Callithrix jacchus: one gene and its partner. The protein of the gene in region 1 binds, or shares a complex with, the protein of each later gene. Links are inferred from orthologs where the notes say so. Each region holds a gene or a part of one and is shown in the gene's direction. Other genes may lie near its edges.

Region 1 (7,111 bases):
ACAGCTCCCCCTACCCAGCCCTCTACCATTTCAAGTGTCACCAATACACAGACTCTTGTTGGAATTGACCCTTATCCTTGGCTACACAGATATGTTTTAGATGCCAGAGTACCATGCAACCACATCTGATCATATGTGCTATGGTCCAGTTGGCCAATATCCTCAGCTGGCTTGGGAATCCAAAGGAGTTAAATGGCTTGCCTAAGGGCACAATGAGTGATGCCATAGGAATGAACATAAAATTCCCAGTTAGGTTCTCTTTCCACTATATTACTGTATATATCTAGAGCAGGGTTGGCAAATATGTAACTCTGCTGTAAACTCTCACCCTTAGCAGTCATCTCTAATCACACAGGTCTGTCCTGTATAGCATCTGTGTAAGGACTCAGAATTCTCAAAACAGTACTTCAGGAAATGACTATTGATCCATTGGCATTGGCTCATGATAGCAATTTAATTCAACTAAATGCCAAATGGGATGGTAAGGCAACCCAGAGATTAACAAGAGCAGGAATTCAGTTCTACATCCCTCACCCCAATGCCACTTTCCTCTCCCTCCCCCAAGCTGGAGGGAGATAGAGAGAAGGAAATTTTACAGACCTCAGGAGTCTAGGCTGCCTGGTGGGAGCTGGAGCCACAGTGGTATCTTGGACCATGGAGTGAGGGCTACGGGAGAAGCTGGAACCATGAGAGAGATGCAGCCGCTGCCCAAGATGCCGACAGCAGAGAGGGGAAAGAAATATTCTGGCTTCTCCTTTCCTCCTTACTCTCAAGTTCCCAGTGGTACTTGATTGGCCAAACCTAATCAGAAGCCAGTTGGCAAAGGGGCCTGAGGACAGGCTGGCAAATGACAAGCACAGCAGCCCACATATGTAGTGTTATGTTTTGTTAGTTTTACTTAATCCATATCATATATTGTTATTTCTGATTGTAAAAGGTTCACATGGTTTTAATACAAATTTTGAAAAAAGTCACAAAATACAAACAATAAAGTAAAATATCAGTCACCAAATAGGTGATCACTGTCATCACCTGACATATTGTTCCTGCAAAATTTTTACAAATAAATTTAGAGTCATGCTATATACATAATTTTATATAATTAAAGAATTATATAAAATTTCTTAAAAAAGAAAGAATACTGATTATGTATATTTAAGAAATTCTTGGGGGAAGGGGTGGGAAAAAAAGAATTTCTAAAAAAGAAAGAATGCCGATTATGTATATAGCATGACTCTAAATTTATTTAATTTTTTAACTTAATAGTATAAGTATTTTCCCATCTGATTAAATATTCTTTCAAACTATGACTTACAACAGCTACATCCTATTGAGTGTGGTAGTGTGGAGTACCATAATTCCATAATTTATTTTACCATTCCTCAAATTAATGAGCATTAGATATGACCACATTAACCATATGGAACATGTTAGTCAAAATTATCACAAGTCTTTGTATTTTATTTTAAATGTATACATCATAAGAAACATAAATCTCATGAAGTCTGACAACAGGAAATCTGAAGATAAATGAGACCTAAAAAGGAATATAATTTATGTAGTTAGAGATTCTACAATTTCTATTTAGTTGTTTTTAATTTTGATGTTGTGGCTTTCAGTAAAGAAGACAACAATAAATATAATGCATTATTTATATTGCCCTAGTAATTTATGTCCAGATACATTTATCCATTGCTTCAAATTCTCTTTGTACTATACAGAATATGATCTAGAAACACTTTATTTAATTCTTTTTAATTGCCAATTAATGGCCTGCACTGTCCCCACAATAGAATTACCATAATTCATTATCAGTAAACGATAGGTACCCCTCCAGAGAAAAGCAAGAGCCGTGGATCTAATTACTGCAATTGAGACCTAAGCAATTGCTTATGGTTTATACCCCCAACATGCAAATAACATCTATTTATAGACTAAGATTTATGATTTTTTTTTTTAGATTGTAGCTCTTTCTGACTGCTAATATCTGTCCCTCTTCCCTATCCCTTCTCCATTTCCCACTCTCAATGACCCTGAGAGGACAGGGAATGAGAGTACAAGGACAGCCAGCTGGCTGCTCTTTTGTTTGACATGATCTTTCCTTCGGGTTTCTTCTCCCTCTTCGTCATTCTGGTGTGGGCCACCAAGCTCCTGAGGGCAAGATACCAACCTGTTTTTTTAGTGGCAACAACCTGTTGTTGAATGGTATGGTTGCTGAATAAGGACTCCATGGCAGTAACCCCTCCACAGAGTGAATGCCACCAAGGCCTGGAGAAGAGATGGGCTCACCCCGTCTGATGTTTCACATGAGAATCTGACAGCTGAGAAATGAAGTTCATGGGCTATAGAAGTTGTAGCCAATGAATAATGAAGACACACAATAACTTCCAAACAGCAGAGCACTAGTCCTGAAATAGGAGAAAACTAGAAACTGTGGCATAATTTTAGGACTGTTTCTTATATGCTCTTTAAATTCATATTTGTCCACATCTGCCAAGAAACCTGTCTTAACACTTCCCACAAAAGAGGAGAGGGTCTCCTTCTTTGCGCTCTTGTACTTGTCTCTAGTTTTCACCTATCAAATTGTAATGTGATTGTTTATTTATGCATGTCTACACGATAAGCTCCTTGATGATAGGGTTTATACATAATTTAGCTTTACAGCTTCAGAGCACAATATTATGCCTGCCATATAATTGATGATGCTCAATAAAGTGTTCATTGAATTAATGAACAGCATCTCCCAAAGATGATACCTGTTTATTATCAAATGTGCCAGCTCCTTAAAATAAGAACCAATTAAATTTTAAATTTCTGCTCTTAGAAATGTATTTCACCTAGTGATGAGAATGCCACATCTAGATAGCATTGAATTCACTTCTCCCAACCCCTGCTCCCCACAGGAGACATGAGATCATTCTCAGTGCCATCTATCAGCTCCCTCTTTTCAGATGACTGTCCTCCTTGTCTGGATCTCAGGGTCTTTATTAACAGTATTTGCTAATCGTTAGATTTTACTGGAATATTTCTAAGTCATTGTTGAAATCTTAACAATGGCCTCAGCTGCAAAAGGAAGAAATTGCATTAGACAACATAAATCATTTATTTTCAGTCTTCAGCTGTTTTAAATACTAGGAGTGAGTAAAGACTAAATCTTTTGCCTGAGTATATTTAAAGTTGGTATAACTTGTTGCTGCAGAAAAAAATTACCCCAAACGTCTCAAAAAAAATTACCCCAAACAAAGTGGCCGGAAACAATAAACATTTACTATCTCACATGTTTCCAATGGTCAGAGATACAGGAGCAGCTTAGCTAGTTGATTCTCACTCATGATCTTCCAGGGTTACAGTCATCGGTAGGCTTGGCTGCAGCTGGAGGATCTGCCTCCAAGGTAGCTCACTCCCATACCTGACAAGCTGGTGCTGACTGGTTGTTGACTGGAGCTTTCAGTTCCACTCCACGTGGACCTCTCCATACTGTTACCTGAGTATTCTCACAAGATAGCAGCAGGCTTCCGCCAGGGAGAGCAATCCAACAGAGAGCAAAGAGAAACCCCCACAATAACTTTGTGACCTAATTTCAAAGTCACACACTGTCACTTCTGCCATATTCTCATTGTTACAAGCAAATTAATAAGATCAGCAGTCAAAGAGAGGGAATTAGGCTCCAACTATTGAAAGGAATGTCAAAGAATTTGTGAACATTTTTTTTTTCAAGATGGAGTTTTGCTCTCGTTGACCAGGCTGGAGTGCAATGGTGTGATCCTGGCTCACTGCAACCTCTGCCTCTTGAGTTTAAGCGATTCTCTTGCCTTGGTCTCCCTAGTAGCTGGGATTACAGGTGCCTGCCACCATACCCAGCTAATTTTTTGTATTTTTAGTAGAGATGAGGTTTCACTATGTTAGCCAGGCTGGTCTCCAATGCCCGACCTCAGGTGATCAACCCACCTCAGCCTCCCAAAGTGCTGGGATTACAGGCGCGAGCCACTGAACCTGACTTGTGGACATATTTTTAAACCATCACAGTAAATTACCAAATAAATAGTTCAAAATGCTTAAATATACACAAGTCTAGGCATTTGCTCTATGTGTTTGTGTAGGTTTTCCTTTAACATTTAAAATGCGTTATGGCAATTAAAAATTTGTATCAGGTAGCATATATTGAAGAGTCTGCATACATTCAGTGTCAATCCTCAGTTTCCTCCATCTCTTTCAGATCCAGGAAAAAAACAGTCCCTGACATCTATATTTGCAACCTGGCTGTGGCTGATTTGGTTCACATCGTTGGAATGCCCTTTCTTATTCACCAGTGGGTCCGAGGGGGAGAGTGGGTGTTTGGGGGCCCTCTCTGCACCATCATCACATCCCTAGATACTTGCAATCAATTTGCCTGTAGTGCCATCATGACTGTAATGAGTGTGGACAGGTAAGTTAAGGACTTTGAAATATCTTAATAAAATTCAGAGGTGCCTGTGCTTCCCCAAGCTCATTCCAATTTAAGCAACATCAGTTATGGTTTATAACAGCACAGCTCTTCTTCGTTTGTTTGCTTCATTGCAGGACTGATTACTTACAAATATTTCGTTTAATTTTCACAGAGGTTCTATTTTTAATGCAAAGTAAAATACAACAATCTCTTTTTTTCTAATCATTCTTTTTGACTCCGCTTTATTTGCAATTCACTGTAAGAAGAAAATCACAAAACCATGAAATATTAGAAACCGGAATGAATTTCCCCCATCATTTTTACAATAAGAAAACTGAGGCCCAGAGAGGTGAGGAGATTTGCTAGAAGGACACAGAGAATTAGTGGCAGAGCCAAGAATTAAAGTAGGTTTCCTTAGTCCCTGTCCAGGGCTATTTCTGATACGTTTACTGTCTCATATACTGGTTATTACCTCATAGCTCTAAGGATTCGGTGGAGTAGAGGTTCCTATATGACCATGAAGCAATTTCCCAGTGCCAGGAAGACCATCTTTTACAAACATTATTGTGATTGGTTAATACAAATGCTGTCATTTTATATCATTAGAAATGTATTCCACTATATCCTGGAATGTGCCATAGCCCTTTTCACCATCCATGTAAGCTAATGTTGTTTGAGGAGATAATGATGGTGGTTAGTACTTATGGAGTCAGTGAGTGGGAGAGCTCAGTTCAGACCCAAGCCATCTGCCTGTAGAAATGGCAGGTAGTTGTAACTGCCTCACTGTCTGGCCTGTCTAGAAAACTTGCTATCTAGGATGAGACCTGTATTATCCAGATGCAGAATGTCCCCACCAGGTCCTAGCAGCTCACCCCAAACAGAAACAGGGCCTAAAGACAACCATAGTATTTCCAACAGTGATAATCTGTCCTCCAGAGCAACCCACTTAAAATCTCCATCTGCCTCCTTCCCAACCCAACCTTAACCCAACATATTTAATCCTTGCTCTGATCTACTGTCTTTTTCCTTGGTTTCAAATATATTACATAAATCACTGTGTGTGTGTGTGTGTGTGTGTGTGTGTGTGTGTGATTTATTGTCTAGTTACCCTGCACCTCAAATGTAAATTCCACCAGGGCAGGGTCTTTGTCCACCAATATATCCTAAATGTGTGTGCGTAACAGTGCCTGGCACTCAGGTGCTCAAAAAATATTGATGAATGAATGAATGAATGTCTTGAAGAATATGTTAAATTTCCCTGGGTTCATCCAGAAATATTCTTTAACCCTGCCTCTTTCACTCTTCCAAATGGGACTTTCGGTGGGGAAGTGATGAGCCATTCTTTAGATGAACAAAAAAAAATTGGCAAGGTTTATATAAATCATTCACTCTTAAAAAAATAAATAATCATGGTAAATTTTAAAAAATCATTTTTTCTGCAAGAGAATTTTCAAAATATAGAATGTGCTTTTCAACTTATAATTAACACATTTTTAAATCAATACATGGCATAGGTCTAGTTAGCTCAGCTGACGCCAGCCAATGTGACTGTGTTGTGAGAAAAGCCCCAGAAGCTTGTCAGGGTTTCAATACCAGGAAGAAGGCCTTGAACAGACCAGGTTCACTGTAGAAAAGCAACTTAAAGTACAGGCCATACCAATAGTAATCCCATCTTGGGGATAATATGAGCTTTTTTATACCCTGTGCCTTGGATGCAAGAGAATATTGGCTTTTTTGGGGGAAAAAAATATATATACTCCTGTAAATTTCTTACTATAAATGAAGTAAATTGGCATTTTCTGTCTTGGAGCAGACCAACTGCATGTATTTCCTAATATTGACAGGTTTTTCTCTGTGTACGTGTGCACACATGCATGCATGTGTATCTTACACCTAGCCTTTTGTTTTATTTTGTTTTGTTTTAATCTAATGTACATAGTATGCTAAAATTTCGTTTCACATTTAAGACATTCTGCCCTTTCTTTCCCCTGGCCTTCACTCTGTAAGATCAGGTGGTAAGAAACAAATGAAGAGGATATAAAATGGAACTATTTCCTTCTTCATATTTCTTGTAATTCTAACTGTACTAAATTCATCAAAGTTTAACAAAATCTGCAGTTTTGTAAAAGAGAAATGAGGCTTGCTTTGTAAGAGCATAACTAAATGTCAGTGCCATCAATATGCCTTAGTGGTTACATATTTAAATCATTTTAATTGCCAGTTTAATGGATTATACGTTTTAAGTGTTTCCAATAACTCATTTTCTTTCCCTAATTAGTAATAACTGCAAGTGTATAGAATGTTTAGTAGTGAACTCCTATCTCTATAGCCATAAGAAAACAATATATAAACATTCAAAATGTTTGCCTTCAAATGAAAGCTACCTAGACTTTCATTAGTGGCTACTTTTATAAATAAATTCTCTAAAACATCAAGAGTCAGTAAGTAGGAGCCAAAATTTGCAATTTATTCATTAATTTATTCAAAAAATATTTATTGAGCATGAACCATATGCTAGAGATTGTTGGACACATAGGATACAGTGGCCTTAAACTAATAATCAAGGCTCCTGCCCTCATGGGGCTTTCATTCTACTGGTATAGACAGACATTAAGTGAGGAGTCCCACAAGTAAATGTATATTTCCACATAGTGATAACACACTAGGGGGAAAAGCAGAGTCTAC
Region 2 (6,561 bases), on another chromosome or scaffold:
TATTGCCTAGGTAATACCATTCAAGACATAGGCATGGGCAAAGAATTCATGCCTAAAACACCAAAAGCAATGGAAACAAAAGCCAAAACAGGCAAATGGAATTAAACTAAAGAGCTTCTGCACAGTAAAAGAAACTATCATCAGAGTGAACAGACAACCTACAGAATGGGAGAAAATTTTTGCAGTCTATCCATCTGGGCTAATAATATCCAGAATCTACAAAGAACTTACACAAATTTGTAAGTAAAAAACAACCTCATCAAAAAGTCGGCAAAGCATATAAACAGACACTTCTCAAAAGAAGATATTTATTGCCAGGCGTGGTGGCTCATGCCTGTAATCCAAGCACTTTGGAGGCCAAGGCAGGCAGATCACCTGAGGTTGGGAGTTCAAGACCAGCCTGACCAACATGGTGAAACCCCGTCTTAAAAAAAAAAAAAGAAGATATTTATTTACGCAGTCAACAAACATATGAAGAAAAGCTCATCATCACTGGTCATTAGAAAATGCAAATCAAAACCACAATGAGATGCCATCTCATGCCAGTTAGATGGTGATCATTAAAACGTCAGAAGACAACAGATGCTGGACAGGATGTGGAAAAATAGGAATGCTTTTTTTTACAAAGTATAAATTAGTTCAACCATTGTGGAAGACCAGTGTGGCGATTCCTCAAGGATCTAGAACTAGAAATACCATTTGACCCAGCAATCCGACTACTGGGTATACACCCAAAAGATTATAAATCATTCTACTATAAAGACACATGCACACATATGTTTACTACAGCACTGTTTACAATAGCAAAGACTTGGAATCAACCCAAATGCCCATCAATGATAGACTGAATAAAGAAAATGTGGCATATATACACCATGGAATACTATGCAGCCATAAAAAGGATGAGTTCATGTTTTCTGCAGGGACATGGATGAAGGTGGAAACCATCATTCTCAGCAAACTAACACAGGAATAGAAAACCAAATACATGTTCTCGCTCATAAGTGGGAGTTGAACAATGAGAACACATGGACACAGGGAGGAGAACATCACACACTGGGGCCTGTTAGGGGGTAGGGGGGCGGGGTAGGGGAGGGAAAGCATTAGGAGAAATACCTAATATAAATGACAGGTTGATGGGTCCAGCAAACCACCATGGCAAGTGTATACCTATGTAACAAACCTGTACATTCTGCACATTACTTCAGAAATTAAAATATTTTAAAAAATGAATGCAAGCATCTTTCTCTCACATACACAAAAAAAGTCACTGCCATAAAGAAAAAAGAAAAAAAATGTGAACATTAAAATTAATCAGTTTGGTTCACCAAAAAACACCACAGAGGGGTTGAAAATACAGGCCACAAACAGACAGAAAATACAATATAATGAAACTAATAATAAATATCCAGAATACATAAAGAACACAAATAAATTAGAAAAAAAAACCCAATAGAAAACAGACAAAGCAACAAACAAAACAAAACAAAAACTGTAAACATATGGGGAGACACTTAACCTCTTTGGTAATTAGGAAAATATAAATAAAAGGATAATGAAATACCTTAGAGTTAGCTCGGACGTGGAACAATGGGAACTCTCACACCCTGCTTATCGGGGGAACAAATGACTTATAACTATTTTGGAAAATATTTTGGCATTAGTAAAGCTGAACATATACATACTCCATGACCCAGCAATTTCATACTGAGAAATATACTCTAGAAAAATTCTTATATATATGTACCAGAAGACATATAAAAGAATGTATTATCTTACTCATTGGGGTCAAAATTAGAAATTAACTCTGAAATGAAAAAATCATACAATATACACTCATCCAAAATTAATGTTTGTGGGGCACATACATATTCTTTTCATGGACTTCATTAATTGCTAAATTCATTAATAAGTATTTGTACATATTATCCTTTTGTAAATGCAGAGATAAAATACACCTGACAATTTTTGATGTCGCATAAATAGCTTTTTGTTCCCACTGACAGGCATATGTACTTTAATCACCAAACACTATATCAAGTATTTATAAAAGAAAATCCTTTTTGAGGATTATTTTGGTTTAATCAGGATTAAAAGGAAATAAAACTTTATCCTTATCCTTGAGTGAAGTAACTTGAGTTTTAATATCTTTACTTAATCAGAAAATACAGAGGGAAACAATAATATAGAGAGAGCCTGATGTCCTGTGGTCTTCCTGAATAACAACCCATCTTTAAGAGACTATAATCTACTCAACAGAAAGCATTCTACCAAGGATTTTAATCAGATTCTAAGAAAATTCACACTCAAAGTAAACAATGTGCCACTAAAACCAAAACAATATAGGTATTAGCAACTGTATAAAAGATTAGCCTCAATCTGATGAGTCATTTCTAAGATAACAAAAAGTATAATTCTTTGAAGTGCTTTCTATTCAAGCTGGAAAATATATAAAGATATGGAATCATTTGCCAAGCAGGCTGACTGAGAAATTTTTCATTTTCTTTCTCATTTGACTGTATGCAGACATCAAACTAAGAATGGCAAAAATGAATCTCTCTTCCTACATATTAATACTAACTTTTTCTTTGTTTTCTCAAGGTATTTTACTTTCAGCATCCAAGTCCATAAGAAATTTAGATGATGACATGGTATTTAATACATTCAGGTTGGGGAAAGCCTTTCAGAAGGAAGACACTGCAGAAAAATCAGTTATTGCTCCTTCCCTGGAACAATATAAAAATGATGAAAGCAGTTTCATGAACGAAGAGGAAAACAAAAATTTAAAGGTAAGTGGCACTGTGACTTGTCATTTATTTCAATGAAAATTTAAATGATTCTTACAAATCCTCTGAAAATTGATACTTTTATAAAAAAACTGATACATTTATAAACAGAAATATATGTAAACAGTCACAATATGTATTAGGATAACTGCCAATATTTCTTATATGCCAGGTAGTTCTTCCATCCTGGAGAACCTCTTATCTAAAAGGGTATTTTTTCTCCTATAAATTTGCATATAAGGTTTTTTTAAAGAGTCAAAAACAGTACAGAGCATCTTTGAATTGATCAACAAGAATATTCTACATTTGTATTATAGTTCCACTCCAAATATAATAGCTAAAAAACAAATCAACCTTCTCTTTACAGAACACAGGCTCCAAACATAATTTCTTAAATCATGGTCTGCCACTGAATCTGGCTATAAAACCTTATCTTGCACTAAAAGGATCTGTAGCTTTTCCAGCTGAGAATGGAGTTCAGAATACTGAATCAACACAAGAAAAGAGAGAAATTGGGGATGAAGAAAACTCAGCTAAATTTCCTATAGGAAGGAGAGATTTTGACAGTGAGTAGTCTTTTCAAAATTCAATTCTTACATCCTTCCACCATTAAACAGAACTCTGAGTTTAAGCGAATTTGGATGCAATCATAACAAAATCAAGTAAGACCGTGGCTCGATTACACCTGCCAAAAATGTGGGATTAAAAAGCATTTAATTAGTTATTAACAGTTTGGTTTACTCAGAATTAGTTGTACTAGATCCATTCTTTTTTTTCTTAATAAATTTTGTGTGATAATTATAATCCTTTTAACAATTTAAACTTTCTTCTTTCTTCAGTGCTCAGATGTATGCTGGGAAGAGTCTACCGACCTTGTTGGCAAATCTGATACCTGTTGGTCCACATCATCTTTTCAGAAGAAAATAGAAGCATTTAATTGCCAATGGGAAGAGAAGCCTGTAATGCTACTATAACTTGTGTCTTATGTTAAATGTCTGATTTAAAAGAAAGTAGTGTTAAGATATATCAGTAACCGAAATGATATGCTTTTTCTGTGCATTAAACTTTGTGAAAATTCTGCATAATTATGACTTATTAGTATTTTTGAACAATGCTTAACATACTAACCTTACATACACTCTAGACCAATATAATAAAGCATCATAATTTACACCTTGATCTCTTAAAAATTAAGAATGTCTTTGGTGAATGGCTTTATATATGCATAAACCTAAAGCATATAATACACAAACTTATAGTCTAAAAAACTGAGTTAACTTTGTCTGGCCAGGAATCAACTTGTTCTTGGCAGTACATTTATTGCTTTTTGCTACTTTAGCTAGTTTGCCATACAATTTATTCTGTGAATCATTTGATTTCTTAGGCATTTTAACACTTTTATGTTGAGGTGGTTCATTTCCATTATCACAGAGAATATTTTCACCATCCAAAGCCACCTGTTTCCTTTTTGAGCTTTTATTTCCTGTCTGACTACTTGATTTTCCTGACACTTTTTCATTTTTACTTCTGTCCAGATGAACATTTCCAAAACTCATTCCAATTGTTGATCTTCCAATGGATGAATTTATGCCCTCTGTTATGCAAGATAAAAAGAGGAAAGGAATTATATAATATTTAGTATTAATATTCATGAGAACTTTATAATAAACTTTAAAAATGGCTAAAGAATATTCAAATTTTTATTTTTAAAGTAAAACAGTACTATAAATAATATAATTAACAAATATAGCTACATTACTATCCCATTACTTTTAAGTTTACCACAGCACCTCTGAGTTAACTTTGGCCAGTAATCAAATCATCAATGCTACTAAAATATTTGTTTGAATGCATGACATTTCATCCTTAAACATATGCTACATATTACTTCTTAAATACATTTAGTTAAATCAAATTGTGTCCTATTCCTATCCATAAATCTGTATTTAGATTTAACTTTTTGAATAAACTGAGGTCTTTAAAAATATAAATCTTTCAGCCTTCAAAAATATATATATATATATATATATATATATATATATATATATAAACCTTTAAATTACATAGTACTTTGCAAAAATAATCCAGTTTTACTTAAAACTAATTAGTAGACTAGAATTAAATTGTTTTTTAATTGCACAAAAAAGATCAATTACCAGAAAGGTTATTTTCCATCTGAAGAACACACAAAGGCTTTGATGCTACATTAATATTCTTCCAATTATCCTTGCTAATCATGTTGTCATCTTTATAAGTACAAGCAAATTGGGATCTAATTAAGGTTTGCTTCATCTGGTAACAGAAAGAAAAAAGAAAATATGCAATTTATTCATTATTTTATTTCTTCATCTAGATACATACACACTCTGTAGTAATCGAGGTATAAAAATTTCCCTTAGAAATTTTTATTTATTACTCATTGTAATTACCCAATCCTTTATTAAGCTATAACCTTTCATATTTCATAGTTTGCGAACTCATTCATTGCTATGGCTAGCATTTTTGTTCTTCACCACAAATACTAGCTTTATGTATATTTTTTATTTTTTTGTAACAGTTATAAAACAATTTCAGACTCTTTATACGGCTTTGTTACACATTCCTATGTCAGCACTGCTCTGGAGCATTTTATTGTAAGTAAAATAACAATACAGGTAATATACATAATCATAGAAAAATACAAGTTCTTCATCCTAAGAAGAACACGACTCTTTTGGAAAAAGCATATGGAATTCAAGAAATTAGGGAGGGAAGAAATGCTAAGATGAAAAAAGAACTAAGTGAGGTCAAAAGAATCAAAACCAGAAAACTAGCAAAGAAATAACTCCAAGATAAAACAAAATAATGTTGGAAAGGCATTATTTCTTGAGTATTTAAGAAAACAAGAAAGATGATTCAATATATCATTCTAGAAGGATTTGACCAAGTGACTTAGTGGTCAGAAATTCAAAATATACTCTTGCATTTATCTACAAATATCAAATAGGAGGGCCTGACTTTCTACATAAATAGGAGAAAATTACAAAGATAAACTTAATTCTTGACCATTGAAAAGGATGCCAAAAAAAGTAGTTCTGGAAATATGTTCCACAAACATAAACCAGTGAGCTGTTGAGGGATAGAAATTAATTTTAGAACAAAGTAGCCTATATAAATAATGCCAATTTCAACAATTACAGATGATGTGTAATACGGCATTCAGTTTTAATGCAGAGATTTCTCCAAATATTTAGAAGTCTCCTGAAATCGTTTTCTGAAATAGACAAAGTTTCAAATACATAATTCAATAAAGATGACTTCAATAATTCAAAAATTTAACACTTTGAGTATATTACTTACAGAGTATTTATTGATACAGTCATGAAATCTAAAACAGCATGGCTTTACAGTGTATATTCAGTGGTTACATATTATGTTATATATTGAGAGATCAGTTTATTAATCTACTCAAATGTTCATAAAGATAATTGCAGTGAAATCTACTATGGCTTAGAAAAAATTAGAATAATCTCCTGTCCAGCTGCTTTATAAAAGCAAGTTTTCTTAGGATGACAAATTTTCCATCTTTCTGATTAATGATGTCTGTGACAATCTCCATCTCCCAGATCACGAAAAATTATGTTTCATGTGCTTAAACGAAGCATTAGACAATTAGAGTTTTGTCTTCCATATAAGCATAAAAATGCACAAAATTGAAAATAAAGGTGAACATATACAAGATCAAAAAACTAGTTTTTTTGTTGAACAGAATGAATGCAACATTTATTATATAGCT

The links.
Region 2: the proteins of MCHR2 (region 1) and PMCH are in contact, whole or in part, in a cryo-EM structure (PDB 8WST), measured with the Homo sapiens proteins. The link is inferred for Callithrix jacchus from reciprocal best matches to the Homo sapiens genes MCHR2 and PMCH. Residues at the interface, in NP_001035269.1 of Homo sapiens: His82, Gln92, Trp93, Gly96, Gly97, Thr110, Asp113, Gln117, Ile175, Phe177, Val181, Ser183, Cys184, Ala185, Phe186, Leu188, Thr189, Ser190, Pro191, Val194, Tyr197, Thr198, Tyr267, Gln271, Asn274, Met277, Glu278, Gln279, Pro280, Phe284; in NP_002665.2 of Homo sapiens: Leu151, Arg152, Cys153, Met154, Leu155, Gly156, Arg157, Val158, Tyr159, Arg160, Pro161, Cys162, Trp163.

What each region holds. Positions count from the first base shown.
Region 1 is NC_133505.1:106,043,993-106,051,103, reverse strand, and holds part of MCHR2 (melanin-concentrating hormone receptor 2), read left to right. Parts: intron 1-4,216; coding exon 4,217-4,426; intron 4,427-7,111. UniProt on the Homo sapiens protein: Receptor for melanin-concentrating hormone, coupled to G proteins that activate phosphoinositide hydrolysis.
Region 2 is NC_133510.1:105,230,385-105,236,945, reverse strand, and holds PMCH (pro-MCH), read left to right. Parts: upstream 1-2,477; 5' UTR 2,478-2,540; coding exon 2,541-2,789; intron 2,790-2,794; exon of another isoform or gene 2,795-3,153; coding exon 3,154-3,352; exon of another isoform or gene 3,353-3,625; coding exon 3,626-3,675; 3' UTR 3,676-3,755; downstream 3,756-6,561. Other genes in the region: PARPBP (PCNA-interacting partner), read right to left, coding at 4,040-4,380, 4,943-5,078. UniProt on the Homo sapiens protein: MCH may act as a neurotransmitter or neuromodulator in a broad array of neuronal functions directed toward the regulation of goal-directed behavior, such as food intake, and general arousal. May also have a role in spermatocyte differentiation.